Linked DNA regions of Oryzias latipes. The protein of the gene in region 4 binds, or shares a complex with, the protein of the main gene of each other region. Links are inferred from orthologs where the notes say so. Each region holds a gene or a part of one and is shown on either strand. Other genes may lie near its edges. The genes, in order: taf5, taf8, taf11, taf6, tbp and taf12.

Region 1 (5,201 bases), on a different chromosome or scaffold from region 4:
TGTCAATCAAATTCAAGTCTTGAGGGGGTGAAACAAAAAGAAGAACCGTTAAGTATCGGCATGATTCACCCGCTGGCGTTGTCCTGTGTTTGCGCCCAACACCCACCTGCTGCAGACTTGACCTTGCGCAGCTTTTTTGGCGTCACACTCCACACCCGAACCGTGGAGTCGGCAAAGCCTCCTGCTATCAGGCTGGAGTCGTCCGTGAAGTCCACCGCGGTCAGACCCTGAACAAGTCCAACGGAGTCTAAAGCTCAACGAGAACCGGCAGCCGTCAGACAACGGCCGGTGGGCGCCGCTTACCTGGTACGCGTTGAGGAAGGTGTAGAAGCAGATGGAGGGCAGGTTCTCCCGTCCCAGACGGATTCTTTTTGTGGATTCCTTCATGTACATGATTTTGTCCAGCTTGTCAGAGTCCTTCAGTTCTGGCAGAGGTATCCTGACCATGAAAAGTTGATTACTCAAGACTTTCAAAGGAAATGACTGCAAGAAAACTCTGGAAATCTAATAAGCACAAACGGATGTTTCAGAAATGTTTTCGGTTTAGGAGCTGTGACATCGTCCAGCCAGGACACGTGCACATGTGACAGACTGTCTACAGGGGAAACTCTGCAGGTGAACCAAACAAGCCCTCAGAGCTCAAAAGCCCCGCTTTCACTGATGTTTTCAGACTTTCTAAGCTCTGTCCTGTAACACCTGCCATTCAGACGGATTCCCGCCTCAACAGCAGCTTATTTGCCCCACCGTGAGCAGTAAGAGGGGGACGGAGCTGACGGGGCTTTTCTAGAAACTAAAGCCATCCAAACACAAACCAGAATAATCCAGAAGCAGATGAAACGTCCTGGGAAACGTTAAAGCTGCTCTCCCACAGAAAGAGGAAGAGCCTGCCTGTGGCGGAAGCTCCTGAAGATGCAGAAGCTCTGCTCTGCTGACCGCAGAACCTCACCTGTTCTGCAACGGAGCGTTGGGATCTTGCTTCTTGCTCTTGGAACCCATGCTGTCCTTCTTTGGCTTCTTCTTCTTCGGCTTGCCCTCTTCGTTCTCCGCCTCTTCATCTTCATCATCCAGGGGCACTTCAATCTCTGGTTCTTTCAGCAGCCCATAATAAACCTGCAGCCAGAACAGATGGCATTGTTCTCACGGGATTACAGAGGAACGTGCTAAATCTGTCGGGAACTTCCCTCACCTTGGCTTTGTTGGCCTCCCGCTTGGCCTCTCCTGCTAAGCTGCCTGACATGGCGTCTATCTGGCTCTTGCTGCGGGGCATGCCGTCGAAGATGTCGATGTACAGGTGCTCCTGGATGATGTTCCAGATCTGATTGTTCTGGCGCTCCTGCAGGTGCCTCTTCAGCAGCTGGTAGGAGTCACGGGAGATGCGCAGGACGAACTTGCTGGTGCGGAAGTCCAGCAGCGTCTCGTTGCCTCTCATGTGCTCTTTCTTGGTGAGGCTGGATAAAACCCGGAGGTCGTCTTCGTAGTAGCACTCCTGATCCCCGCTGAACCTGCGGACGAGGCCGTGACGAGAAGGCGCGCGGAGCAGGGCGTACTTTTTTAACGTAAACCTTAAAGGGACTTACTTTTCAAAGAAGGCCTTGGCTTCACTCTCATGATTGTTGTACACCAGCTCCAGGTACATGTGGACAAAGAGCGGGTAGAAGACCTGCGACAGCTCTGCCCGGTGGCAGTCCAACACCGACTCGATGAACTTCTTCAGGTCGCTGTAGTAAACTTTGTAGAGAGCCGGGTCTCCCTGCTGGCTGTAGGCTGACAGCACCACACTGACGTCGGGCTGATCGTCTGCGACTGCTGCTGAGAGAATCCAGAGGTGATGAACCCCCACCGCGAAGCAGCCCAGAAAGACTCACAGACCCTTCAACTATGGACCTGTTGCTGGATCTGCAGCTTACCTGGTTTCAACGGTAAAGCCAGGATGAACTCATCTAAACTGGGATTGAAATTGAAGGTGATGTCTAAGAATCAAACCCGTTTACCTGATAGCAACTCTGACATATTTCAGGAAAACGATCACCTGGTTTACAGTCCATTCTCAGGGTTTGTTGACATCATGTGTGCATAAAGACTTCAGGTTTTCTGGAATCTAATGAATCCCATCTATAGTCTCAAAGTTGGAGCTCTTCAATCTGCTAAATCTGCTTTTGCCATCTTCATTTATTTATCATTAAATAACAATGAGGCTTTGTCCTGTCTTCTGAGTAGCCACATCTCTGAATGTAAAAAACAGACAAAATCAAATGTGTGAAAATGCTGGAAGTTGTCAGATGACTGAGAAGTGTGAACCTTGTTAAAGCACTTCATCACAGGATATTCTGCTGTGTGTGTGATCCTGATCACCTCAATTGATCTGATTATTTGTGTGCAACACTAAACTGTATCAGGTCAGCTGTAGACCAAAACGAACAGTGACAGACACAAATATTTGTATAAAGTATTTAGACTTATTTATATTTATTACTTAAAAAGATTCATGGTTTTAGTTTGTGTTCTTGTTAATTTGGATTCTCAGTTTGACCACCTCTCTGCTTCCCCGGGACGTATGTTGCGATCAAGTTTTGTCCACATTTGTTTGTCAGTGTGTGTAATTTACGTTCTTTTTGCAGCTTCTAAACGTGTCTTTTCGATTCTTTTACAACTGTTGCGCGCGCTTTATGAGGAGCGAACAAAGTTCCGGTGGACGGGCTGAGTCCCGCTTGGAGCGTCATACCTTTGGTCGGCGCCGGAGTTCCAGCGGAGGAAGACACGGCCACCCGGCTGAGCAGAGAGCCCGCATCCAGGCCGTCCACGCCGCCAGCGGTGCCGCCCGAGCTGGGCGCACTGCAGTCCGCCCCCTTTGTGTCCAGCGCATCCTCGGGCAGTCCCGCCTCACGCCGCAGAATTTCAACGGACTCCGTCAGCTTGTTCTTTCTCAGGAACTGTAGAACCGCCAGCAGCGTCTGCTGGTCCTCCGGCGCCCCAGCCGCACTTTTGGTGCTCCCAGCCGAGCTGCTGGAGCTCGGGGACGGAGAGAGCTGTCGCCCGTCGGTCGCATTTGTGTTCATGAGCCCGTCGCTCTGCGGTTCGGTTTTTATGTCGACTTCTTCTTTCTCGTCGACCATTCCACCCTGCACGGCCGCCATTTTCAGAATGAAGTGCGCATGTGCGAGGTTGAAAAACGAGAAGAACTGACTGCGCAAGATAAGCAAATCTGATTGGTTCTCAGAGTGACATGTGTGTGAGAAGCCCGGCCCCCTCCTGGACGGCTCGTGCGGTTCCGGGTTTTTTTTTTGTCTTGTTTTTTTTTTTTTAAATAAACCTTTATTGACATTTTATCATTCAAACTGTGTCTATGATTTAGAAAAAAATCAAAACAATTTTTAAGGCCAAAATTGATAGAACTGTATATGATAAAAACTTGAGCAAATTTTTTTCTTCAAGACTACATTTTTTTAAGAAATACACAAAATGATACATCCATACAAGGAAACAAAATAAAATAAAATAGTGGTCTAGTTAGAAGTAATACATTTGAGGTCCTAAACGTTTTAATAATTTCCTACTTTTGTGCTCATGAGATCATCAGATGACACAGCCTTTGTTGAGCTGATATTACAATGTTGTTAATATTTTTTATTAAAATGGGTAAATTCCTCTGATCAAACTAGTTTTTTTTGTCTCTGTGATTGAAATTAACTTTAAATAATTATATAAAAGATTAAAGAATAAACAAACAAAAAAAAACGAATCAAAGCGAAAACATGAAAATCAAAGAAAGAAACAAATGGGGTAAAAAAGCAATCAAAGCAAAACTATTAAGATCCCAGGAAAAGTAAAAAAGAGAAAAAAGCGTTCAGATTAAGAACAAAAAGATCAACTGAAAATTTTAATCTAAGCAAGAATATAAAGATCAAAAGGGAAATTCAATCGGAAAAGATGGATCAAAGCAAAAACATAGAGCTCAAAGAGAGTCAACGGTTAAAAAAGCAATCAAAGCAAAACTAAACTAAACAGCTATCAAAGAAAAAACACAAAGATAAACGAAAAAAATACAAAAGGGATCAAAGTAAAAGCATAAAGATCAACAGAGAAAGATCAACGGATAATTCAAAGGGAAAAAAGCAATCAGAGCACAAACATAAAGAACAGAAAAACCAAAGAGAAGAAAGCAACAAGAGCATAAACAAAATAGTCAAATGAAAAGAGGGATAAAAGTGAAAACATAAAGATCAAATAAAAGTCAGAGGGAAATAAGCGATCAGAGCAAAAACCTTAAAATAAACGAAAAACTCAAAGGAAAAATGGGCATGTCTTCTTATCTGGGGATTTAATGCAAATAGCACTTTATGGGGGGGGAAGGTGACAGATGCTAATGGTGAGGTACTGGAGGACATGATGGATGATTTATACTTGGTCTGTCTCATTGATTGGGGAGGGACAAGGATAGATGAACAAACAGGGAACATGTCAGCACTAGATCTCACTTGTGTTTGGAATGTATTGGCAGGGTGTTGTTAGTGGGCTTTACATGACAGCACATGGGGAGTGACCATTATCCTCTTTTCTCTAGGGTTGGTGGGGATAGAGAACCATCAATTAATGAAAGGGAAGGCAGGTGGCTTTTTCATAAAGCAAATTGGGGTGTGAATTTACTCATATATGTGAGGAGGAACACTCAAACATCAGTATGGACAATATTTCTATAGAATTTGAAAGAAAAAGTGGAAAATGTAATAATTGCAGCAGCAAAACGGACAATTCTAAAGAGCAAAGCTACTATGACAAGGAGAAATATACCATGGTGAACTGAAGATTGCAAGACGGCAGTTAAAAATCGAAATAAGGGTTTGAAACTCTTAAGACAGACGCACACCTATGAGAACCTGTTGAACTACAAGAGACTTTGGACGCAAGTGAGAAGAGATATTAAAAAGGTGAAAAGAGAGTATTGGAGTTTTTTTTGTGAAATAATTGGTTGAACTACACCGGTTAGTGCAGTTTGGGGAATTATTAGAAAAATGAAGGGATAAGTAGGGAGTAACAATACCCAGTATTAAAGATGGGTAATGACTTGGCAATAATGAATGCGGACAAAGCTGAAATATTGGCTAAAACCTTTGTGAGAAGTCAAAGTAAGGAGAATTTATCTAGATACAGGAGAGAGAGGAGAGATGAAAATAGGGAACGACACAACAATGATGTTGATGGTA
Region 2 (5,156 bases), on a different chromosome or scaffold from region 4:
ATCTTACCCATTTCAATGAGAGTCAGCACCGCGTCTGACAGGGTGGGGACGCTTCTGGCTGTGTGCTCACAGTAGGCCTTGGCACACCGACCGATCTCTGTGATGTCTAGAAAAAAATCCTCATTTTTTACTTAATAAAGCAGTGACTCATCAGGAGAACATTTTTAATGTATATGAATAGTCAACAGTAAAGGCCTAACTGAGTCACATTTAAAATCAGTTTGTGACAAAAATACAAAAGTCACCTTAAAACATTCTAAAGGGAAAATTCATGATAAAAGTACAGAAATGAAGGAATCAAATGGAACCGATTTTTCTTTGGCTTTAAACGTTCCAGTTCAGGACTGTTACATACAGCTCTGCATCATCTCTGTGAGCGTCTCCACCGCCGCCTTTTCAGCGCTGTCAAAGCCGCTCTCAGTCAGCAGGGCGCTGACCACGACCTGCAGGGTGCGGCGCCGGGCCAGGTGGTAGTTCTCTGCAGGGCTTGAAGCTGCTTTGGCTCCAGACCCTCGCTAAAAGAAAAAAAAAAGTATGCAGACTATTTAGATGCAAGACAAAGATATCTATTCGATCATAACACAGACTTATACACCTTTCCTTTCGTTCTTGCTAACAATCTTGTCACACCTGAAACCTTCCTTCACCTGTCTTAACCTCCTTGGAATGGGAGGTTCCAAGGGGAAGAGATGAAGAGGGAGCTCTTCGTTTCCTTCCCACACTCTCTGTTGATCTGGACTGTTTGACCCAAAGAACTTAAAGTCCTCCACCTTTACTCCCTGTTCCACTCGAATTCCGCTCCTTCATTCATCTCATTTCCAGAGGAAACCTCCGCCTGCTACCTCTCACTATAGATCATAATGTCATCTGCAAACATCATGATCCACACAGATTCCTGTCCAACCTCATCCGTCAAGACTGTCCATCACCATGGAAACAAGAGGGTGCTCGAAGATGATCCCTGGTGCAGTCCCACCTCCACCTTGAACTCCTCTGTCGTGCCTACAGAACATTTTTTACCAACGTCTTCCAGCTCTCATCCATATCCTGCATAATTCCAACGTTCTTCTGTTCCTCCAGACTCCTCATCCAGACCGCAGCTCCTTTCTCTGTTTTCTGTCATACATTTTCTCTAGATCTACAAAGACACAATGCAGCTCCTTCTGACCTTCTCTGTTCCTCTCCAGAAGCGTCCTAAAAGCAAATGTTGGATCTGTGGTTCTCAGCCTTTGCATGAAACCATACTGTTGCTCACCAATGTTCCTTTCAGCCTAGCTTTCAGCGCCCTGCACATATCTTCACTGTGTGACGTGTCAGTTTCCTTCCTCTGTAGTGTCTACAAAACAGCAGCTCAAATCTAAAGTAAAACTTGTTCGTTTATCATAAACACAACAATGAAAAAAATCTGCAGCAGCTGCTTGTGTTTACAGTTCCTAAGAAATACTTATGCAGATGTTATCACTGAAACGGTCTCCAGACGTTTTGAATTTCATTTCACAGGAAGAGATTTTAATGTTGATGTAAATGATGCGTCATAACACAGACTGACATGTGGGATGCCACAAGGCTCCGTCCTTGGTTCTACACTTTTTAACCTGTACATGCTTCAACTTGGTGATGTCATCAGGAGACACTTGATGACTTGGGACCCACTGATGACCTTTTAAGTTGTTTTTTAGATGTTGAAACTTGGATTGGAGAGAACTTTCTTAAAGCTCAATACAGACAAAACAGACATTTCTTAAATCTTGGCCCTGAAGCTGAGAAGAGAGGGTCCATTTTTCCTTATAAACCCATTACTTATAAACTCAGAAATCTTGGTGGGATTTTTGATGCAGACTGCATTTTTTCATCTTAGAAATATTGTCTGAGTGAGACCCTTTCTCTCCAAAGCCAGCACTGAAATATGAATCCACACTTTTTTAACATCTAAAATAGATTATCTTTATCTTTATTGGCTGCAGCTTGTTCTAAACTCAACTGTGCACCTCTTAAGCAGAGTCAGAAAGAAGGAGCACATTACTGAAATGTTGAAATCTTGCACTGGCTCCCAGGGAGCATAAAGATCCATTTTAAGGTTCTTTTGTTAGTTTCTACAAGTCTCATGCTAATAAAAAAATGGAACTTCAGTTTTAATCAGAACTGCTTTTAGTTGATGACCCTCTCAGAGACCTTAGGTGCAGGTCTGCTGATGGTCCCAAAGGTCAGAACAGAAAGCGAGGCCACATTTCAGCACTGTGGATGTGAGGGCTTCATCCAATGTAGAGGCTTAAGACAGAACTCAAAACTTATCTGTGTAGCTTTCCAAGGAGTTTGGTACATTTCCTCATATTTTATTTTTTATTTTGGAGACTTGTAGATTGTGTATGTGTTAATCAATATTTATTATGTTAATGCTAATTTCATTTCATCTTCTAAACCCGTTAAGACCCTTTCGGAGTCACGGGGCTACAGAGCCCATCCCGGCCACTCGTTGGCGAAGGTAGGGAACATCCTGCACAGGTCGCCAGGAGGAAGCTGGAGTCCCCGGAGAAAACCCACTCATGGACGGGGAGAACATGCGAACTCCAAGCAGAAAGGTCCCGTTCTGTTTCAGGTTCCCACAGCCGGGACTTGAACCAGGGCGCAAGAGTCCTAACCACTGCGCCACCATGCAATTTATGTTAATGATTACCATTATACATTTTTTTCTTTGTATAAAGCACATCGAGGTGTTCTGTAGCAGGAAAAGCGCTCTATAAATAAGGGTGAATTTATATTTTGAATTGCTGTTAGGGCAGTACTAAAGAGTCCAGGAGGGCTCGGAGGTATTAAAGAGAGTTGCAACCTTCAGGAGGTTCAGAAAACTAAAAACCTCATCATCAAGAATAGTCGGCTTAGTTAGCATAGATATACTCCGTCCGAAACAATAGTCTCAACATGAAGAGAATCATTTACAGAGCATGTTGCACAAAAACACTAAAGCTAGCTCAGCTAGTCGTTCAAAACAAAGTGGAGTATAATCGTACTTGTTGCCATTTAACCCAAAATCAACGATGAAACCTTTCCGCATCCAGATGTGGCTGCTAGCAAGCTTTCCGATGCAAACCTGCAGCATTTACGACAAACACAAACGCTTTTCTTACCCCGCTGGAGTTTAACGCGCCTCCCGGCGTCACGGCGGGATCTGCCATTGGAAATAACTTCAAAAATGTCTCCTTTTTAGGTGTGAATTTTTTAAATTAAACAGATTTATTCGCTTAGACACGATAAGCCACCGCTAGTAAATAAGTTGTCCATGTATGACGACACTTCCGTCATTCAGACGGAAACGATTGTGAATGTCTTGAGTTTAGCCGACACTGCCCCCTAACGTCCGTCTACAGTACTGCGATTGTTTACATTGTCATTTTTATCCACTGGCAGATGGAAGAAAAGAAACGGCTTCATGACAAAAACAACATAAAATGCATTCAAATATCTGACTTTTTTTTTGAAAGTGTTAAGTTATCCTGAATAAATGTTATATTTTTTTCCAAAAAATTGAAAAAATAAAGAGAGAAAATATTGTGATTTTCAATTAAAAAACCCATTTTAATTCAGGCTTGTTGCACAGACATCTATTAAGTACCTCAATCACCAAATACTTGATGCCATCAAAGCAAGACTAAAAGAAAAAAGTTTTGTTCAATTTCTCACGATTTTTCAGTGCAGGAGCAGCAAATGTGCCTCTTTAAGTAGACACTATTTTCCTATAATCTGAGTACCAGTGGTTAGCACAACACCATTTTTATTAAAACACACAATAAATTGAATTGCACAATTCCCCTTTCCTTCCCATGGTATTTGATCCATATTAGAATCTGCTGCCCAGCAGCCTGAGGTCACTGTGTCCTGCAGTTTTTAGTGTATCACCACATCTGACATTCTGTTAAAAAAAGGGGCAGAAAACATTTTTACCAAAACTAAAATAAATTAGAAATTCATAAAAATAAAAAGGTCTGCCATTGTCCATTTCCGTTAAAGTGAGAAAGTCTTTTTAGGAAGCATGCAGGCGAGTGGCCGAGCTTCTCCTTGTGACCATGCCCAGATGTTTGGGCTTGACCTCAGGCACCACCACGCTCAGTATGTCCTCAGCTTCAGTGGGGATCTGGACATGGTGGGATTTCAGCAGCAGCCTCTCCCTTCTCTTCTTGTCCATGAAAAGCTCAGCAGTCTGTTTGCCATCAGCAGGGCTGTCCCCAGAAAAGGGCAGGAGAATCATTTCCACCATTCCGCCGACCATTCCCAGCAGGGTCAGAGCAGAGCCCAGCGCGTAGATCTTCACCATGTTCCTGCTGGGCCCCTCCTTCAGAACCTCCTTCATAAATGGTACAATGTCTCCACTGTTTTCCATGATGGCTCTGCAGAAAGAAAAAGGAACATTTTGGTCAGTTTTTTAACTTCATATGGAATCAAAGTCCTTTTTTTGCCAGGGCTCACCTTAAAGGGGATGCCAAAGAGTTCACTTTTCTCTGTGTATTGAGGACAATCATTGTACACTTGGGCAGACATCTCAATTTAAGGACAGCAGAAAGAAGCCAACCCCCACAGTGGAGGACACTCATGCATATTCATGAGTGTACTGTTCTGTTTTTTATAGATTACCACTTGTTTTGGGTTAAAGTGCAGGAGTTTGTGGGACAAGGAGTGAGACAGTTTTTTTCCTTATAGTGAGTATGTGACATCATTTGTTGCCCAACAGATCCAATAAACATATAACAACGTGCCAGAACCCATGACTCATGCTGGATGTGTTTATGACTTGTAATAATCCACAATGTTCCCAATGCGCCTATGGAATTTTTTTAGAGTGGAAATATAGGGCAATTGAAAATGTTAGAATATCTCAGAAAATGTGCATAATTTTTACATCAGTTTGGTCCAAATATGGCATTAGGACAAACCGTGATTCAGAAATCCAACATGTGTACATCACTTCTAGGCTGTGCAATTTTTTTTATTTGAATGTAAACACAACTTGATTTCCCTCAGAAATAATAGTCTATTTTAGTGTACTATAAGTATACTTCGTCTATGCTAAAAGTAAGGCAGTATACTTAAAGTTGATCTTTGATATACCATCCATATATTGTAAAATTAAAATGTTCCAGTTTAGTCTGAAAAATTATTTAGTT
Region 3 (5,183 bases), on a different chromosome or scaffold from region 4:
CGACTGGTGCTTTTGGTTTAGACCCATAGCATGTTACACTAAAGGGGTTTGGTTTTGTTTTTTGCACTCCAGGAGGGCCTCCTCCTCCTCCTCTTCCTCCTCCTCCTGCAGCCTAACCCACCCTTCTGTGCCATGCAAGGAGGAGGTGAACAGTGACTCAATGCAAGGTGGTGTTTCCTCCATCAAACTGCACATGCATATACTGAGGTGTTTGTACTGTGTGAGTGCAATTCACTGGAAACTGCACTTGTTTGAAAATCAGATGACTCAGATGTTGTACACAGTATTTTTGTCAGCTGGTTTAAAAAAGAAAAAGAAAATAATCACATTGACTTTTCTATGGGTAGAATCACTTCCATTGAGACTAAACTTTAACTGGTTCTGTGAACCAAAATCAGTGTGCTGTAAAGATTTTAAGTGTAAAAAAATAAACTGTTGAACACAGTTTGATGTTGCTGTGTTTTTTTCTTTCCAGTAGAAAAGATTTGCTGTTCACCGAGTGAGTTTATACCAAAGAGGTAGTCAATGTTTCTGTGAGCACTTAAGTAATATCACATTGAAGACGTTTTATGTTCCAAAATAACAAAGCCAAACGTTTGATTTTCTCAAAATTGGGAAAGAGTTGATGAGCAAGGAAGAAACTTCCTTTTCAGACGGGGACTGAACCCAGATTTGACCGTAAACACAAGACCTAAAAAATATGACCAATTCAACAACAAAGTAAATGCTATAAGATCCTTTCATAATATCAAACCTTTTATAAACATGAACCTCTAATACACTAAGAAAACGTCTGAAATATCAATTTTGCTTATGTCCACATAGGATTTTTTTTTAAAATTAAAACCCAAATCGTACCAAAAAAAATTTGAGAGTAAAATCTTTATTTACACAAAAAAACTAGTCCTTGGAAAAAGAATGTCCGCCTGCCTCTGTGGCTGGAGTTTGACAAGAGGCTCTTGAGGCTGTTTTAATCACCTGCATCCTCATTTAACCCACAGGTCAACGGTCTCAGTGAAACAGAATGTGCTTATACTTTGTGTTGGGAATCTGATCTCTGCTCTTCAGCCTTCGGACGGCCTCCCTCATGTGCTTGGGCTGAAGCGGAGGCGTGTCCCCCCACTTCTCACAAACATCAAGCGCTGTGAATCGAAAAACAAAAGACGCAAAAATGTTAAGCTTCCAGGAAAATGGATAGAAGCTGCATAATACTAGAAACTATTTGTTGCCTTAAACACTCACCTTCCTCGACAATTTCTCCAGCAAAAACCTTGGCAATACCAGACATTGCTATGACCACATTCTGGGAAACTGACGATCCTGTGATTGACTGGATCAGCTGGAGGTCGACCAAAAAAGCCACAAGAATGACAGAAGAACGTTTTTGGGAGGAAAAAGAATTAGTTTTTGTAGACAGCTCACCCTCTTGATGGCCGCCTTGGGGAAGGCAGAGCGTCTGTACATTTCATAGCGATTTAGTTGCTCTTCAGAAAAAGAAGACACCAAAACTCTAAAAGAATCCAGGAAGAACAAGAAACGGGGTGAAATTAATAAAGATGACAGCACCATGGAATATTTCAGGAAAAAATAAAAACGGCAGTCTTACTGCATCTTTTGTATTTCATCTTCGTCAACTTTCTGCCTTTTCTCCTTTTTCTTATCCGGCTCCACCTTTAGCCTTTTTGCAGGAGGCTGACCGGAGGTTCCCTCTTCTTCATCATCTCCAGGTGCAGCTTCCTTTTCAGAAAAAAAACCCATCATGATTAAAGTCTTCTTACACTTTAATGGATTTCCCTTCCTAAATTTTTAGTACTTCTTCCCATTTTTAATGTTGTGTTTGTTCAATGCACAATTATTTAGAATACAATGTGAGGATGTAAGTGAAGCTCGTTACATGTAAGTTTGCTACACTCTAACATACCCAACAAAAGAAGACTTGGATTTAAAAAAAGCAATGGTAGACCAATGTGATCAAGTATGAAGGGTTTATTTTTCAACCAAATTTAGTCAATCAAAAGTTATTTTATAATTAAAAAATGAACTGCATGTCAAAGCTAAGAAAGAGTCAGTTTTATTTTGTATATACAATAAAAATAATACATAAGTTAAATACTTCCTCAATGAAAATATTTTGCTTGAACATTGTTAATAAATACTCAGGATTTTGTACATTTTTCTTCAGGCTTATCTAGTTATTTACCTTGGGTCCCAATTTAATTGTCTTGGAAATCAATGTTCAACCCCTTGAAGCCCATTAATTCAAATATGCATCAAACATATTTGACTCCAAAATTACTATAATGTTCTAAATGAAAATAAAGACATATTGTACCAAGTTCTTTTTCTCTGCACAAAACCAAAACACGAGTATCATATTTAAACAACCATTAATATTGTGGATTGTTTATTACATCAGTTTCCCCCCAATTTTTGATAACAGATTTGGTCCAGAATTGGTTGTATGTCTATGTCAAACTTCCATAGATCTATGCATTAGACTGTAACTTTCTCCTCAATTGTACTGCTAACAACCTAAATAATTCTCCACTCATCTAGATTTTGCTTAGATTTTTTTTCTTCCACAAAGGATTTTTGAACACAGTCATTTCTACTCACATGTTTCACCTCCCTTGTGGATGGATCTTGTGCGGACAACTCTTTCTTTTCGTCTGCAGATTCTTTTGCGATGGCTTCATTTTTTATGTTCGTCTCTTTACACGGCTCCCCTTTGGATGCTGCTGCCTTCTCAGACTTGTCTTCTGCCGGCTTTATCCGTGCAGGGTCTGCCATAACCTAAGTTTCTAAACAGCAGTCTGCAAACACCAACGAAGAAGCTATTACGAGACTTTAGTTTCAGCTGTGTAGCCGGCGTATTTGAATAAATTCTGGATGAAAACTGCGTATCTCATGCACGTTCCTCTACAGCTAGCTAGAGACGTCAACAACAAAGCCCTTTGCCGCAACACTAGCAGCTAATAGTTAGCTGTTATAGTGCACTAATGTAGTCTACGGTCCTTAAACGACACACACCGGTAATTATGTCAAAAAGAAAAAAGGTCTACATAAACAATGGATAAATAACTATAAGTACTACATAGAAAGGCAAAAAACTAAAGAAGATAAGCTAGCTTTCCTGGTAAACATCTACCATCGAATAATAGCCTAAAAAAACCCAAGTGCTTCCGTTTCCGTTTTGAATAAACTTTATTAACAAGGCGTTAAATGTTTCTTTTTTTATGTCAAAATGTGTTGAAGTTAGTACTGTCCATGAAAAATGTGTCAAATTGCTCTCTCTCTCTCTCTCTCTCTCTCTCTCTCTCTCTCTCTCTCTCTCTCTCTCTCTCTCTCTATATATATATATATGTATAAACTCAACACAAAATAGAAGAAAATTGCAAAAACGAAACCAAACTAGAATATTTTAAGACCAATAGAACATACAAAACATTGTTTTTTTACGCCACCTTGTCACGGTTAAAAAAAAACAAACTCTGTGCTAAAGTTACGCAGGAAATACAACAACAAATATTGTCAAGAAAATAATACTTACAATTATTACATTTTACATAATTGTAGCTGTTCATTTATCATTTACAATGCAACCTCTAACATAGTTTATCTTACTCGTGTGTCCCTGTAATTTTTTTTAACTCCACAAAATATTGCAATACATTAAAATAACAATGTGACAGGAAACATGATGTTTTTGATTTTGTATGGTCAGCTGAAAAAATAGTGAAGTGTTAAAAAAATTTTCTTTTTTAATAAATAGACATTTTCCAAAAATGTAAAGTAGTGAAAAGGTCGTATTTTCATTTGAACAAAAAATATTAGGTTACATATTTGTCTATTTCATTTAAATGTATTCATATATACACATTGCTATTTCTTTTCATTGAAAAGTAAGCGATTTGCACACTATCCGGTTAGAAAATTAGCTCTCGATTTTCAAACCAACTGGGGTAACGGAACAATAAAACAATCTCCAATGTCCTCATAGAATCCTGCCAAGCGCCATGTTGCTTTTCCCCGTCCATATGTTTTATTAATCTGCGAAGGGCGGCGGTGGTAGGGAATCTGAGTGTGTCTGACTGAAGAGCTTTGGATTGGAGATGCAGAAAGAAAGGGCAGTTTCAAGGAAGTGACGGACGACGCTTGGAGGACTGGTCAGAGGAAGTTTGCTCGGTGGTTGGTGCCGTGCTGCTGACTGAAACTTTTGCCCGTTGAGCGCCAGCAGCACCGGGGAGAGGGACAGAAGGAGCCGCTGGTTGGAGGGAGCTTTTGTTCCCTGCCGCATAGTAGCTCTCAGGAATAACTTGAGGTTGGGAGAAGAAGAAGAGGGTCACAGAGGAATTTTACTACAAGCAACCCCCCTCCTTCTCCTCCCCGCACCTCCTGTTTTTTTTTTTTCTCCCCCCGTCTGGTAGCAGCAATGGGGAAAGAGCAGGAGCTTCTGGATGCGGCGCGTACGGGAAACCTGGCGGCGGTGGAGAAGCTTTTGTCCGGGAAGCGACAAACCGCTGGCGGATTGTCCGGGACCGGTGGAAGCGCCAACAGCGGCGGCCACGGTGCCTCCTCTCACCCGCTCTCCAGCCTGCTCAGGTACGCAGCGGGGAACCGAGAGACGGCATTGTCTCTTCTTGCCTAGCCAAACATTAACGGCGAGGATGTTATTCATATATTTTTTGGATTAGTCAACCAAAAGCAGCGCGGTACGTAGCAGCTTCTTTGTTAGCTCAGACTCAGCTCTGGTATTTTTCTGCCAGTTTCTGTTGGCACGTGCACGCGCAGCTTTTATTTATGTAAGTTATCTTTAAAAAGCTGGAACAAAAACACACCACATCTCTTTGGAAGAAAAAAAACCGGTTTCATGTGTCAGAGATTCATAGATTCTGCTGGACCTGCTTTGTGGTGGCTGAAAAACTCAAAGGAGGAAAAAAAAACCCACATTTTTTTTTCTTTTTCTATTGGGAGTACTTTATCCACAACCCAAAGGAAACCCCACACTGTGTCCAGGTGTGTCAACGGAAGCCGGAAGGGTTTGATCTTCGGCTATGGTCACAGGGGGAAGACATCAATGAGGTGTAAACATTTTGTTTGTGGTGATTCACATCTGGAGTGTTCTTGGTGTGCAAATGCTGGTGAGATTGAGTTAATCCTTTGAGGTCAGCAGTCTTTTTTTT
Region 4 (5,123 bases):
ATTTCTTTTCTTCACTTACATATTTTTCCAAATACAGAGTGGGGTTGTCCATTAGAGCTTTGACCATTCGCATGAGATAAATCAGAAGCGCCAAATTATTCTGCACCACATTAACCCGAACCTTTAAGGAGAAAAGAGAGCAGAGTCAGGACTTTGTACCAAGTTATGACACAGTTGGTGCTTTAGAAACACATTGAAATCTGGGAGAGTTTGGAAACACGCTCACTCCTTCAGATATAAATGTGCTGAATCTTGGAAGCATCTGATACAGTCCTGGATCAGTGGCTATACTCTGCAAAGCTTCCTGTGTGAACACATAAAGAAAAAGTCCCATGAATCATCAAGCTGAGGTAACATTTTACCAGTATGGGGGAATATTGGAGCTTTTTTGCTTTTACTATAAAACATCTATACCAACATCTGCAGGACTTACTGCTCGCTTTGCCTCACAGGAGCCAACACAGGCTTCTGTGATCTCCTTGTAGTACAGCTGCTGTTCTACAGACAGCTCATGAGTGCTGCGTGGTTTCAACCTGATCGAACCTTTCTCTTTTCCTGAAACACACGTTAAAACAGGAATAACCCAAATTATTAACCCTTTCTTATTGGTGAAGAGAAGCAAAAAGAAAAATTGGAACAAAATGAAATAATTGATACCGACCTTTGCCGTCAGGAGCTGTTGCACCCTGACCTTTGCCTTGAATCGCCCCTTCCTCCTCCTGACCTGGTTTGACCACTTTAAGGGGTTCCGTGGACTCTGTCTTTTGTTGTTCTTTTGTTGCTAAAAAAGTGTAAACAACATAAAAGGTTGTCATTTTTGTCCTTAAAGCATTCAATTTCCTTTGGGGGAGACGGTTAGAACAGGACGAACCTGGAGGGGGATTTTCTGGAATTGAGGGTTGAACTCCTTCAATACTTAACCAGTGGGCTGTGAGTTTCCAAAAGAGAACAAACCATGAACTTTCAGATAAATCGTTTAAAAGATTAAAAACTGTGATTTTAAAAGGTTGTAACGGTCGCTCTACCTTTGAGAGAGACATCTAGTGGAACTCTGGGGAGGGGTGTGTTAATAATGTCACTGAGGTCGACCTCCTTTTCTTCATAAAAGTGAAGCTCTCTCCCTCCACCACTTGCAAAGCGAAAAGGAATGAACTCCTGAGACTGGAATCCATACAGAGGCTATAAAAGAGACTTTAATTAGAGCACAGAATATAAAACAAACAGGGTTTCCCAAAACTTGATAAATATGGATGTGTTCCAAAATATTTAAACCTTACCTCCACATTTTTCAGCTTGAGGGCATTATCTATATCACTGGTAGTTAATTTACGTCTTTTCCCATGATGCATGAATTTCAAAGCATCCTGTGCAAAAAGAGACAGAATAAGGGATTGTATGCGGCTTCACATATTCCATAAACCATCAGAGCTCTTACCTGCGCGATTTCTTTGATTCTGTAGCTGACCTCCTCACTCAGGGCGACGCAGCTTTCCTCTTGTAACTGCCCCACCCCAACAGACTCTGCCATGGCCTTCATGGACTCGGTGGGAAGGGTGACCGAGCACTGCTTCTGCCGACGCTCCTCCGCCATGGCTGTCAACACAAAGCAGGGCCATACAAAAAGTTTCATTGTAAACTGAAACCAGACACAAACTGGAGCTTATAGAAGTCTAAAATTATATTTTTCATTCTCCATCTTATTGTTACGGCATTATTTGTTATAAATGAGACACTAGGAAAAAAAAATTTTATATCTCGAAGAAAAAGAAAAAAGAAGGAAATATGTTCGTGGACCTTATCTTCATTTAATGAAAACATCACACCTTTACTTTAGCCTAGAAAGACTAGTGTTGTGAGCATCCAGCATGCTAACAGTCAAAGAACTGTATAAACTGCAAGTTAAACCACAGTAATAAAAGTTTCCTACAGTGAAACAAGAAACCAAAAAAGAAAGAAAGACTGCAGGAAGTGAGAATATCTGTGTCAAGTATGGTATGTAGAAAAGTAGTTTTCTAGCAAGGTTATGAGAACCCCGGTGGTATTTGATGGCACTTGAGAGAAAACAAGACATATTTGACCAAAAAACATTTTTTTTCAATCCCCAAAACCCCCCACAACTGGATCAATCGTTTTGATAAACATATCTGCCGAAATTATTACAATTAATTCAATAAGTCTTTATTTTGTTTGTTGTAATTGCTTTAATTTAAAGCTTTTCAATAATAAGCATCTATATCTATTATCTTTAAAACGCAGTTTCACTTAAAATGTGTGATCTTTGTTTTTTCTAGCCAAATATGAGTTGCGCTTTTTGAACGTTTTGTTGTTTATTACTTTCTATTATTTTCTTTTTAATTTAAACGCCTCACTGTAAACAAAACTGCTAAAATATGTATTGGGGGACCTGTCTGATGAAATATTTCAAAAATAGTCAATTCAAGTGCTTTGAAATACACTCTTTGGAAATGACATCGAAAATCAATGATGATTGAAGCACATTATTATTATTCCCGTGACTGTATCTTTAACGCTGTCAAAGATCTCAATGATCCCCTAGTAGAACACAGACATTAGCGCCAAAAGCCAAAAATATAATCGGGCTACGAAAAAGTAAAAAATACTCAAATAGCTATGCGTTTAGACGTAGTTTTGAAGGTCCGGTTACTTTTTTGTGTCAGACGTTGAACAATCAATGCTGCTAAGAACTCGATGTTCAAATGAGTAAGCTAAAGGCGGTCTTCACTATTTGGATAAAACAGATGTCCCGATTCTTATGTACCGTCTCACAAGGTTCATTCGTGTTAAGAGTTATCTCTCACCTAAAAAGCAACAAGAAAAAGGCCAATCGGCTAAAATGATAATCGGTTCATAAAAATGATTTCATACATTACAAACACAAACAGACCGCTCCTCCACAGAGAGCGGGTTAACCCCCCGACGGAACTAAAACGGGGGATTTCCTAAACGCAATTGCAGTTAAAAGTAAATAAAAGTTCTTCCAATTTTAGGATCACTGTCAGCTGCACATTGTTTAAGATGTGCATTTACAAACGAGCGCTAAATTTAATGCAAGTTAGCTTATATGCTAACAACTTAGCTTCTTTTTGACGTTTATACCTGTAAGAAGTTGTCCTTCCTCTTCTGAGTTATGGCCAGGATTTCCACAAATGAACACTATCAGTATTTACAACACTGACAATAGCGTAACCCCGTTTTTTCCTTGCAAATCCCCATTTCTCAATGTAAATAACAAAACTTATTTCCTGGCTGAAGCAGAGCCATCCGTCTGTAAATTAGCGCTAATGTTCCATCGCCATTTTGAGTCACGTTGCGGACGAAATATCGCGAGAGTTGTGGACACAACAATCAGGAGACTTGTTATTTTAAAATAGGTATCTTATTATTGAAACACGTTTTACATTTGTACATTTTAATTAATGTGACGCTCATAGCTTAAAATGGCAAAATTATGAAAATCAAATTTTCTAGCAAGATAGCTTTTGCTCGAATTAACGTTCATACGGAACTAGTGTTTGGAGTAATGTTTTCCGGGTGACTTTTTCTCGTTACCACGGATGAAAGCTCCAAACGTGAAAGGACATTTCAAGAAACAAATATGAACCAATTTATATCCCGGACAACGATTGTGGCACGAAATCGTGTACTGTACGTTCACGAGTCCTTTTTATCAAGTAACTGTGATAATGTTTTCAGGTGAGGAATAGGAGTACTCCCGATAATAATAGCATGATATCGTTGAGCCACAACAAATGTGGTAATACTTGTGTTAAAAGAAAATCTTGACCCTTAAAAAACTGATTATGTTGCTTCTTATTTCTTGGCTTTTTCGATCCCCGGAAGGACATTTGTGTTTTAACTTGCCGGACTGTGTGAAATTCTAGACTTAAATTTGTTTGAATTCAAAACCACTACTTTATTTAAATGCTAAACGACATGCTGTGCTTTTTTGTATTTATAATAACCAAAATTGAATTAGAACTGTAACCAAACATTATCTTTTCAAACGAAAGCCCACATGTCATAAGTGTCCAAAAATGACTTATTTTTAGCTTGCAGCTTTTCAAATCTCCCCGTATCAAGTCCTAGATCTAACCCAAATTGTTGTCAATTTTCAAAAGACCAATTTTCAAAAGACCATTGAACTCATATTTGACTTTTGAAAAATTTTGTTTCTGGTGACAAAATTATATCAATGTTTCTGAGATACAAGTGGCTTCACAATAAGCTCAAATCCTTTTCCCATCCTTAAGTTGGAGAAGAGTTCTTTATAGCTATGATTGTACGTGTGAAGTGATTCACCATAACAAATATTTCTAATGTAAAGTAGAAAAGTATGCTAACATTCCATCATATTTGATTTTTTATGCATTCCTGTCATTCCTATTTTAAGATGCATTAACTGCACTTTGGTATTTATATTTCTACAGAACCTTAAACAAAGTTGGATTGAAGACTTTCTGCACAAATTCAGTCAGATTGTGTGAAAAAAAAGACAATGCTGGCACATCTATAGATAGCCAAACGAAACTGCCGGAACAGAAGGAGGAGCAACGCGTGTTAAAGACTGAAGACAGAGGGACCGCAGACCGTCAGGCAGATGATAACTCTAAACAGCTTCTGGCAAAATCACAACAGCCTAAAGTGGATACAGGAAAGAGTGAGAAAGAAAACCTCCTGGACCTACTTGGAGCCATGAAAGTAGAAGTGACCAATAAAAGAAAGCTTAAAACTATGAAGAGACAGCAAAGTATTGAGTCAGCTGCACAGTATAAGTCCAAGCCAGCAGATATGGAAAGCACCATCAGTATGTTTCAAAAGGCTACAGAGGAGGCGTCATCACAGAGGTACGAGAAGAGTCAAAAGCCATTTCCATTGGTTACTTATACTTATTACTTTTTACCTGATACTTATTTTACTTTTGTCCCTGCTTACAAAAGACTCTGTTGGTCAATATTCCAAATTAAGATCATGTGATGTAAAAGATTTCTGAACTTGTTAATGTTTATATATATTTGTTTTAGTGAAACTCTGAGCCCTGACTTGGTGGCTGCAGCATCTGCCGCCGCCGCCACTCTTCCCAACCGCAGTCGGGCAGAGTCGGA
Region 5 (4,006 bases), on a different chromosome or scaffold from region 4:
CCAGGATGTCCACTCTGTTGGTGGCAGCAATCACCTATGAAGGATTTACAAGAGCACTGTGGTCAGACCTGGAGCACAACATTATTAGAGTGCATGCTAAAGTTTAAATGTAAAATTTAGCAACCATTTTAAAAGATTAAAGAATATAATGCTGTAACTAATTACAATTAGTTTTACACAAATGTTTACATGGAAAGCATCTTTACCTTGACCTGCATGTTGGGCTGAAAACCGTCCAGCTGGTTGAGCAGCTCCAGCATGGTCCTCTGCACCTCTCGATCTCCAGCCTTCTCGCTGTCGAACCTCTTCGTTCCAATAGCATCCAGTTCATCGATGAAGATGATGGACGGAGCTTTCTCTTTAGCCAAAGCGAAGGCATCTCTGACCAGCTTGGCGCCATCTCCAATGAACATCTGTACCAACTGCGGACCTGCCAGCTTTAGGAAGGTAGCTTTGGTCTGAGCAGCACAGGCCCTGGCCAGGAGGGTTTTTCCTGTACCAGGTGGGCCGTACATGAGAACCCCTTTGGGTGGCTGGATGCCCAGGTTCTCAAACTTCTCCTTGTGGTTCATAGGCAAGACTATAGCCTCCACCAGCTCCTGGATCTGCTTATCAAGGCCGCCTATGTCGCTGTACTGCTCAGTGGGACGCTCATCCACCTCCATGGCTTTAACTCTGGAGTCGTACTCTGTGGGCAGGGTCTCCAGGATCAGGTAGGAGTCTTTGTTGACCCCAACAAGATCTCCAGGTTTCAGCTTCTCGGCGTCCACCAGCCCGATCACCGGCAGGAAGTATGTCTGCCGGGTGGAGGTTTTAATGACAGCGCACTTTCCTTTTCTCTGGGAATCCAAATCCACATTTGCCCCATCTTCCTCTTGGTCGTTGGGATCCACATCCAGCAGCTCAATCACGTTCGAAACCAAGTACGGCAGAGTTTTGTTCACCTTTATCTTCTCCGTGTTTTCTTTGATTTTATCCTTCATGGCCTGGAGCTCATGAGTCACCCGAAGCACTTCGCTCTTCATGATCTTTATCTCGCTGTCGAGGAGACGAGTGCGCTGGACTATCTCCTCTGTGGACATTTTTAACACTTCTTCTCCGATTCCATCTTCCACCTCGTCCCAAACTGATTTGTCACTCAGCGACGCCATCTTTGCTCTGTCTGACTGCGCGCTGTGACACGCCGGAAGTTAAAGCTTCTTCTTCCGGAAGGAGCCAAGCATTTTCTTCCCAGACTGAGCGTTAGATAAAACAAGCTAAGCTCGCATTATCTTGTTTTTGTGGTCACTTCAGCTCCAAAACGATACCAGTAAGTTGCCTTTCATTAACAGGCTTTTCTTTCAACACATATAGTTTAGTTTTCAACTTTTTTTAACGCGGCAAACGCTTTACGCCACAGAAAAGGGTTTGTATCCCTATGTGTATGCTAGCTTACTTTAGCTATGCAGCTAACTTCAGCTAGCCGGTGTGTTTAATTTGAAGGCTGTCAGATGTGCTACGAGAGAACTGATCGTCTATAGACAAGAATTAATGATTTAAAAAAAAGCATTTGAAAGGCCACACAATGAGGTTCACGGTAACTGCAGACCTCGTGACTCAGAATATTATGTTTCTTTTATGTTCGCGCTCTTATTTCTGTTCTAGTTTTGCTAACTTCTCTTCTGTGTACACACACACACATCTTCTGTTTTTCAGCGTTCTGGACTCAGCATTGTGGAAAAAAACAGGGGAGATTGTGAAGTCTATTTTTATTCTAGTGGTCTTTTTCTACGTACATAGAGCCCTCTCAATTCAAGGCACCTGCTGCGAAAGTGGATTGGACAACTGCCTAATAGTGGTTGGCAGTGTTGGAACGGGAGAAGCACAAAACATGGACCAAAACAACAGCATCCAAGCCTTTCAAGGCCTGGCTTCACCTCCGGTATTAATCTCCGCTTTGGTTTCTTCAAAATGGTTTTCATAAAACAAACATTTCACAAATATAATATTTCTAATTACATGATCGGGTCATCACAAAATATTGAGAAAAATATTGATAAGTTCTCAATTTCAACTTATTACATATGTTTTGGTTAGTTTTGAATATGAGTTACTTTTATTTAAATTTGATATATTTATTTTCAAGATATTTATGACTGAAATATAAATTTCATTAAGGAAATCATGATTCTTTTATTTTGTATTTCTGTATTGTATCTACGATTACATTTAATCAGAGCATGATTTCCGGTTGCTTCAGAAAGTCATACTGCAGGTCATATTTTGCATTACTGTAAATACTGAGCTTTTAAAAAAAAAAAAAACTTTCTTCTAATTTAACAACGTGGTGGTATTGTATTATGCAGGGTGTGATGACCCCAACCATGCCAGTGTTCAGTCCCATGATGCCGTACGGCTCGGGCCTCACGCCCCAGCCAGTACAAAACACAAACAGTTTGTCCATACTGGAGGAGCAGCAGAGGCAACAGCAACAACAACAGCAGCAGCAACAAACACAGCAGTTGAACACAGGTAAAACAAACTTTTTATTCATATTCTTTTCTCTTATGTTGAGGTGAATCTAAAAATGTATTTAATTTACTGGATTTGTGTTTTTTTACTAAGAAAAGATAATTGGTATTGTCTCATAGGTCTTCCAGGAGCATCAGGACAGACTCCACAGCTCTTTCATTCTCAGCCAGTACCAGGTTCAACTACCACTGCGCTACCGGGGAACACCCCGCTCTACAGCGCTCCGGTGACGCCTATGACCCCCATCGCTCCAGCAACACCTGCCTCAGAGAGCTCTGGCATCGTACCACAGCTACAGTACGTTGCATACGATTCACAGAGAGATGAGAACATTGACTAATACTGCATACCCATTTACAAATTTAACTTTTTGGGTTATACATGAAAAAGGAAATTGAATTTATTTTAAAAATGGATACATTTAAAGAAAATTCGTTTTAAATGTTTTATTGTTCTAAATGTTTTTTTACACAACTAAATGCAATGTTTTTATTAAAATAACGTTGTCCCATTTGTTTTTTTTGCCACTAGAAACATAGTTTCTACTGTAAATCTGGGTTGTAAATTGGACCTGAAGACTATTGCCTTAAGAGCCAGGAATGCTGAATACAACCCAAAGGTAATCCCAAACTGATCATCTTTTCATGTTTTTTTAACTGTTAGCTTTGATTTGTAAGCAAGTAAGGCAAATGAATTTATTTACTTTGGGCCATCATCCGTCTAAACCTTAAACAAAACAGGCCTTATATTTCCAAAATACGGCTACGTTTGTAAAGTTAGAAAGCTCTACAACTGAAGTGGGAAAAACATTGTAATGTTGCCGTTACTATGCCACCTTCCAGCGTTTTGCTGCAGTCATTATGAGAATACGAGAACCAAGAACTACAGCTCTCATCTTCAGCTCTGGGAAGATGGTCTGCACTGGAGCCAAAAGGTAAGAGTGGGACTTGTTTTTTAGCTTTATATGATTTAAAATGTTTTGCAAAATGTACTATTTGATGTCAAATTTGATGTCAAATTATTTCTAATGATAAATCCAGCAGTCAAAAATTTAGACAGACTTGCCCATTGATATTAATGAATGACTTAGTCCAGGGGTCGGCAACCTGGGGCTCCGGAGCCGCATGCGGCTCTTTCATCCCTGTGCTGCAGCTTTATGGCTCTATGTGGTTTTCCTAGACTAAAACAACCCATTTCTGCGTAAAATTAATTACATTTGCGTTAGGGCGCCCCTACATCCTGTCAACTTGCTGGTATGATGACCGTATGTTGCGCTGTCTGTGTAGAACACGCTGAGGGGGGGGGCTGTAGGCGGGGGAAAACAACTTGGAGTTGCAGAGGAACATGTAGAGAGACGGGGGCGGGGCTTAGACTCACCGCTTATGATTCCAGACCCGCAACAAACTAAGAGGTGCTTCCTAATAAAAAATAGTTGTCATGCATGAAATGGATATACTTTATTGGGTTTACTGAATTTATTGAGAAAAAAATAAAA
Region 6 (5,089 bases), on a different chromosome or scaffold from region 4:
TCTTTTGGGGTCTAGATGACCCAATTCCCAATGTTAAAGTGCCTAGGATAGCACAAAAGTAAAGGCTCATGAGTATTTGACATGGTCTAACAATAATTTCATTCTTGCTCTTTAGACTTAAATAGAAACCTTTCTTGTCAAGTATTAGGAAAAACGTTTTGAAAACTACTGGATTCTATGATAATTTTACTTAAAATTTCAATAAATATTTCATGCTTTCCCAACCTTTAATGTATTTTTGGCTAAATCTAACCGATCTGAATGTTCCTTAGTACCAGGCTGAGGAAAAAGGTTAACCATTTTATGTGTTTTTAATGTTGTGGCTTGTCATTTTTAAGTCTTTCACCCCTTGACGCCTGAATTTATTTCAAACTATTTTTTAAAAATTTCTTATGGTTTTGCTTTCATGTCGGTGCTAAATTAAAGTCGTCAAGGAGATTAAAAATACAGCTTATTAGTTAAAACATTAGGGACGCCATGCACTTAAGTTCATTTGTTATTTTTTAACACCACGGGTAAATTTATTTTGGCAACAATGCGCCGTTTACTGCTAAACTTTTTGTATAAACAGTAAAAAAAATTCAAAGCACACTTTGTTACACTTGCAAAATAGCTACGCCAAAGTCATTTTAGATGCGTTTCAGATTTGGCCAAGTGTACATCAATATGTTGAAAAGGATTTAAAAAAAAACTGAGGAGCAGCAATGGTCGCCATTCATAAGAATTCTTCCAGCAAGTGTTTATTGACAAGACTTACAATGAAATTCTACCAGTCTGTTTAGTGGGAAAAAAAAAAACACACACCAAAGTACTAACATTGTGCAATGACTCCACACACTCAAATTCAGGGAGACGTTACAATTGAGCGATATTTAATGTCAAAGACAGACGACCTCATCAAAACGCTTTCTACTGTCAATAAAATAAAATGACAAACTCAAGTGGAAATGAAAACAATTGCATAAAAGAAAAGTTAAAAATTTGAAAATATACAAATTGGGTTCAACCTAAGGGCTTGCCCTTTTATTTTTTAGTCGTCTTGCGGATCAGTGCCATTCTCTGAAAAAGAAACACATGGGGAGCATTAGACTCAAGAAAAGGGAACTAAAATTAACAATTACGGCAATAATATGACTTCACAAACAGAAAAATTACTCTATCGTTTACCTGTTTATGAGCTTCTGTGGTGCAAGCCTTCTTATACGGTCGAATTTCATCAGAGCCATAACCAGGAATCCACATGTTCCATTGACGCTCTAAAATACATAAAAACAACACAACAATAAGACAAAAATCCCTTAGTTTCCACTAAATATTTATCAAACAAAAAGTACAAAATAAAAGGGCATTTAGCCTGTAAAAAACATACCTAGATGTAACTGAACGTCTTTAACCTCCAACGTGTTTGATTTGCGATGGCGTGCCAGCTGACAGGCTGCTGTCACAACACTTTCTATGAAGTCATCTGCAATTTGTAGAAGCATCTGAGAAGAAAAAACATATGAAGGCCTCAAAGGAACTCAACAAAGTAAGATTTTACACACAAATAAAGATATGTTCTGATTTATGAATGTAACAAAAATCCATGTTTTCTACGTAACAGTTTGAAATGCTGGACGGACGTAAGCATTGAAAATATTAAATAAGGTATACAACAGGCATGTCTTTTAATAGTCTTTATAAGAGGTTACAATATTTTTTTAATCTGACCTCTTCAACATCCTCATCCAGTTGCTCATTTGGGTCAATTTCTCTCACCAGGTCCTGCAGTTTCTTCTTAGAGAGGACCTGAAGACAAGAGGAAAGAGAAAGTGTAACACTTACACATGTGAGTGTAAGGTTTGTGTTTCACAATTAAACAGTATCCCGAAGTAGCTGTTAGCTGCAGTCACACAATAGAAATATTTTCAGGTAAAAAAATAAAACAAAATACAAAGCATCAAATTCAAAAGCGTACATGGTAGTTGTTGCAAAAAAAAGACAAATAGATGAAACAGTTTTACATTAGATAAAATATAAACAATATCTCAAATAGAATACATTTCAAAAGTTATATATAAAAATATAAGGACATAAAAGTGGTTACAGTGATCCCTTGCTATAACGCGGTTTACTTTTCACGGTTTCGCTACTTCACGGATTTGCATCGTGCATTGTGTTCTTCATTCAAAAAAATGAATGAATGAATGAATGAATGAATTCATTGTAAGAAAAAACAAAGGTTTCTACTTCACGGATTTTGCCTATCACGGGTTCTTTTTGGAACGTAACCCCCGCGAAAAACAAGGGTTTACTGTATACTAAATACAAAACTGAAAAATACTCAACCTGAGATCCTTCTGGGCTGCTTCTACCTGCAGGACCAGCAGGCAGGCTCTTCACTATTATTGGGGTGCTATTGGCCATTCTCAGTGATCAAGGTCAAGGAGGAAGCGCAAAGCAGTTCTTTAAGTTACAAGACGCTGGTGGCCCGGGTAAGGCTCTCCCAAATCCTGCGTGGCAGTCGAAAGCACCGCTTTTTCAAGGAACCACAACCTTAAATTTGTAGAAAAACAGTACAAATTTCAGTGAAATTAGGAAAAAAAGATGATCCATTCCCAAAAACATTTCCCTCCCAATTTAGTTTACTTCGGTTAACTGCATGTAGCTTAAAGCAGCATTTAATAAGCCTAAAAACTAGCGTTTGCATCCAATACAAAATGCAAGTATGTTTTAATTAAACTAGTAAATCTGATGTCTGCTTCCCCTAATTATTTACTCCAAAACAGAGACCGGAAAACGCGCGCAGCAGAAAGCGCTTAGCTTAACGCTACACGATGTCTTAAGGGCTTTAGGCTAATTTAATAAAATACAACAAAGTAAGCAAATGCCATTATTACATAAATTCTTTAGTACACAGATAAGAATCCAACGTTAACAGATTTGTTAGTGCTAAAAACAATAGCAGCTACAAAGCTTTGAAGTTAGCCTTGCTAAATTCAGCAGCTAATTTCTCAGTTCGGCGTTCCTCAAACAAAATTCTAAGTCGTGGCAGCTTTTTATTGACTCACCTTTTTAAATTAACACTATCTGTCCATTTTCGTCATTACTTCGAGGGAAAGGTACGTCTTTGACACTAAATTTGTCTACGAACAGGCAACAACCGTTCCAGAATTCAGGGAGCAATATTCGGAACTTCCGCTTTTGCCCGATTCTGTTTCCGGTAGAACCGTGTCCACGCTACGCTGCCCCCTGTCGGACTGTGTGTGGCACTTCAATAACACGTGAACAAAATCGGCCTCTGTGGAGAAGCACGGAAAATAAAATATATAAATACAATAAACGAGAACGCTTGTTTTTTAGATGGCCTGTCATTCAGTTGCTTTATAAAAGATTGTGGGTTATTTTTTAAGTTTTTGATAGGAAACATAATAAATATTAAGGGTGTTACGATTCATTTTAAAAAACGATTTGATCTGTATCATAATTTGTGGTTGCTAATAGGATTCAAAGTTGATATCGGTTCATTTTGAAACATCCAATTTCATCCAATTCACTGACCTAAAATTGAGCAAAAAAAAACAGCCAGTGTGACTCGGTACTGAACAGATTCCTTGTTGTATTTCTTGCAAGATAATCAAATGTAAATTAAATATGTGCACAAACAAACAAACAAACAAACAAACAAACAAACAAACAAACAAACAAACAAACAAACAAACAAACAAACACGTAAACAACAATTAATAGTAAATCTACAGTCAAAATTTAGTTTCATAAAGTTCAGCCCACGTCTGTTTTTCCACATCAAAATAAAATAATCTGAACAATATTAGAACATTCTACCATTCTACTATGGTCACAAAATTCTTTGCAAAAAATGAAAAATGTTTCAAAGCATTGGACTGTAATGACGGCTCGATCATTTTTTGCTGCCATTACATGTGTGTTGTCTGTTGTCTATGACTATTAGAAACAATTTGATAAAGGTAGATGTCAATTCGTTTACCAATTTGCTTTAGACAGATCGATCTGGTTGAATCACAGGAAAACAAATCGATTAATCTAGATTGGTCTGGTTGCCAATATTTATGATTTTCTTTACGTCTCAATACTCTGTATACTTTCACATCTCAGTGTTTATTTTCACGCCATGCTGTTGTTTTATTGGAAATATATTTTTAAACAAACTTTTTTATAATGCAAGATGATGTAGCATACGCCATCGTAGGCATTGTCTTTGTTAGATGTAAACGAGTTTTCCCTTTTCTTTTTTTCCCTTTTTCATTTTAATATAACTGAAGGTCTTAATTAAAAAAAAAACAACTAAGATTACACTAAAAACAATTTTTTTTATCCCCCGTGAGCAGTGAAATAAAATAAAGCGTGAAATGTTGGCTTGATAGGTTTTCCACATCGCACCAAAAAGTGTGAGAAACATCGTTAACACATTTTTTTCATGATGGCTCTTATGAGGAAGGAAAGAAAAAAAAACACACCCGCAAAGCTCAGGTTAAAACAGAAGTGGTTTGGTTCCCTGAGCGACGCGTGACGCGCAGAGAGCAGTCGTGATTATTGGAGCAGAGAGTGGACAGCTGCGTTTCTGGTTCACACAGTCATTTCCCATGTCAACATCCATCAGCAAAACTCTGTCATTAAATCTAAAAACAACGATAACGCTTATAAAAAATAAAAAAAAACAAAAACAAATCTTACTTCTTTCTTTTCATTTTTAAAGTGAAATTGACAGAAAAGTTTGGGGGCTTTTGGACACCAAACGAAAGCCACACCTACAGCGCGTCAGATAAAAACGCAGGACGCTTTCATTTCACTTTAGTCGCTGCTTGAAGACTTCTCGACGTTTTCTCAAGTATTTAAGTTAGTCTTTCTTTCTGCAACAATGAGATCTTTTCTTCTTGCTGCAGTTGTTGCCCTGATCCACAGCAGTCATGGTAAATATGTTTTTTGTACATATGTGATAGTCTTAAAATAACTTTTTCTTAGATTTATTTATCCTAAACAATTATTTTTGTAAAAGCATTGATCATAATTCTGCCACATGTATGTTTTGTATTTACAGTATTCTTTAGTGTGAGTTAATTTCTTATAA

Evidence for each region.
Region 1: taf6 (region 4) and taf5 share a complex: the UniProt entries of both Homo sapiens proteins name them as parts of the TFIID basal transcription factor complex. The link is inferred for Oryzias latipes from reciprocal best matches to the Homo sapiens genes TAF6 and TAF5.
Region 2: taf6 (region 4) and taf8 share a complex: the UniProt entries of both Homo sapiens proteins name them as parts of the TFIID basal transcription factor complex. The link is inferred for Oryzias latipes from reciprocal best matches to the Homo sapiens genes TAF6 and TAF8.
Region 3: taf6 (region 4) and taf11 share a complex: the UniProt entries of both Homo sapiens proteins name them as parts of the TFIID basal transcription factor complex. The link is inferred for Oryzias latipes from reciprocal best matches to the Homo sapiens genes TAF6 and TAF11.
Region 5: taf6 (region 4) and tbp share a complex: the UniProt entries of both Homo sapiens proteins name them as parts of the TFIID basal transcription factor complex. The link is inferred for Oryzias latipes from reciprocal best matches to the Homo sapiens genes TAF6 and TBP.
Region 6: taf6 (region 4) and taf12 share a complex: the UniProt entries of both Homo sapiens proteins name them as parts of the TFIID basal transcription factor complex. The link is inferred for Oryzias latipes from reciprocal best matches to the Homo sapiens genes TAF6 and TAF12.

Annotation. Positions count from the first base shown.
Region 1 is NC_019859.2:29,660,841-29,666,041, reverse strand, and holds the start of taf5 (transcription initiation factor TFIID subunit 5), read right to left. Parts: upstream 3,279-5,201; 5' UTR 3,135-3,278; coding exon 2,723-3,134; intron 1,810-2,722; coding exon 1,578-1,809; intron 1,503-1,577; coding exon 1,187-1,502; intron 1,111-1,186; coding exon 947-1,110; intron 440-946; coding exon 304-439; intron 228-303; coding exon 107-227; intron 19-106; coding exon 1-18. UniProt on the Homo sapiens protein: The TFIID basal transcription factor complex plays a major role in the initiation of RNA polymerase II (Pol II)-dependent transcription.
Region 2 is NC_019865.2:25,322,040-25,327,195, reverse strand, and holds the start of taf8 (transcription initiation factor TFIID subunit 8), read right to left. Parts: upstream 3,314-5,156; 5' UTR 3,174-3,313; coding exon 3,126-3,173; intron 516-3,125; coding exon 356-515; intron 107-355; coding exon 8-106; intron 1-7. UniProt on the Homo sapiens protein: The TFIID basal transcription factor complex plays a major role in the initiation of RNA polymerase II (Pol II)-dependent transcription.
Region 3 is NC_019865.2:19,680,837-19,686,019, reverse strand, and holds taf11 (transcription initiation factor TFIID subunit 11), read right to left. Parts: upstream 3,179-5,183; 5' UTR 2,791-3,178; coding exon 2,617-2,790; intron 1,738-2,616; coding exon 1,607-1,737; intron 1,511-1,606; coding exon 1,423-1,510; intron 1,340-1,422; coding exon 1,243-1,339; intron 1,143-1,242; coding exon 1,012-1,142; 3' UTR 864-1,011; downstream 1-863. Other genes in the region: anks1a (ankyrin repeat and SAM domain-containing protein 1A), read left to right, coding at 4,433-4,602. UniProt on the Homo sapiens protein: The TFIID basal transcription factor complex plays a major role in the initiation of RNA polymerase II (Pol II)-dependent transcription.
Region 4 is NC_019872.2:15,547,607-15,552,729, reverse strand, and holds the start of taf6 (transcription initiation factor TFIID subunit 6), read right to left. Parts: upstream 3,321-5,123; 5' UTR 3,118-3,320; intron 1,594-3,117; 5' UTR 1,592-1,593; coding exon 1,436-1,591; intron 1,365-1,435; coding exon 1,278-1,364; intron 1,180-1,277; coding exon 1,026-1,179; intron 929-1,025; coding exon 872-928; intron 782-871; coding exon 662-781; intron 556-661; coding exon 434-555; intron 305-433; coding exon 227-304; intron 122-226; coding exon 20-121; intron 1-19. Other genes in the region: mrps31 (28S ribosomal protein S31, mitochondrial), read left to right, coding at 3,617-3,714, 4,449-4,865, 5,043-5,123. UniProt on the Homo sapiens protein: The TFIID basal transcription factor complex plays a major role in the initiation of RNA polymerase II (Pol II)-dependent transcription.
Region 5 is NC_019861.2:24,481,923-24,485,928, reverse strand, and holds the start of tbp (TATA-box-binding protein), read left to right. Parts: upstream 1-1,206; 5' UTR 1,207-1,309; intron 1,310-1,695; 5' UTR 1,696-1,870; coding exon 1,871-1,921; intron 1,922-2,345; coding exon 2,346-2,511; intron 2,512-2,630; coding exon 2,631-2,808; intron 2,809-3,042; coding exon 3,043-3,130; intron 3,131-3,353; coding exon 3,354-3,445; intron 3,446-4,006. Other genes in the region: psmc3 (26S protease regulatory subunit 6A), read right to left, coding at 1-34, 207-1,151. UniProt on the Homo sapiens protein: The TFIID basal transcription factor complex plays a major role in the initiation of RNA polymerase II (Pol II)-dependent transcription.
Region 6 is NC_019874.2:22,542,041-22,547,129, reverse strand, and holds taf12 (transcription initiation factor TFIID subunit 12), read right to left. Parts: upstream 3,205-5,089; 5' UTR 3,051-3,204; intron 2,536-3,050; 5' UTR 2,407-2,535; coding exon 2,329-2,406; intron 1,789-2,328; coding exon 1,711-1,788; intron 1,485-1,710; coding exon 1,370-1,484; intron 1,257-1,369; coding exon 1,168-1,256; intron 1,060-1,167; coding exon 1,024-1,059; 3' UTR 709-1,023; downstream 1-708. Other genes in the region: uncharacterized protein LOC101164588, read left to right, coding at 4,880-4,931. UniProt on the Homo sapiens protein: The TFIID basal transcription factor complex plays a major role in the initiation of RNA polymerase II (Pol II)-dependent transcription.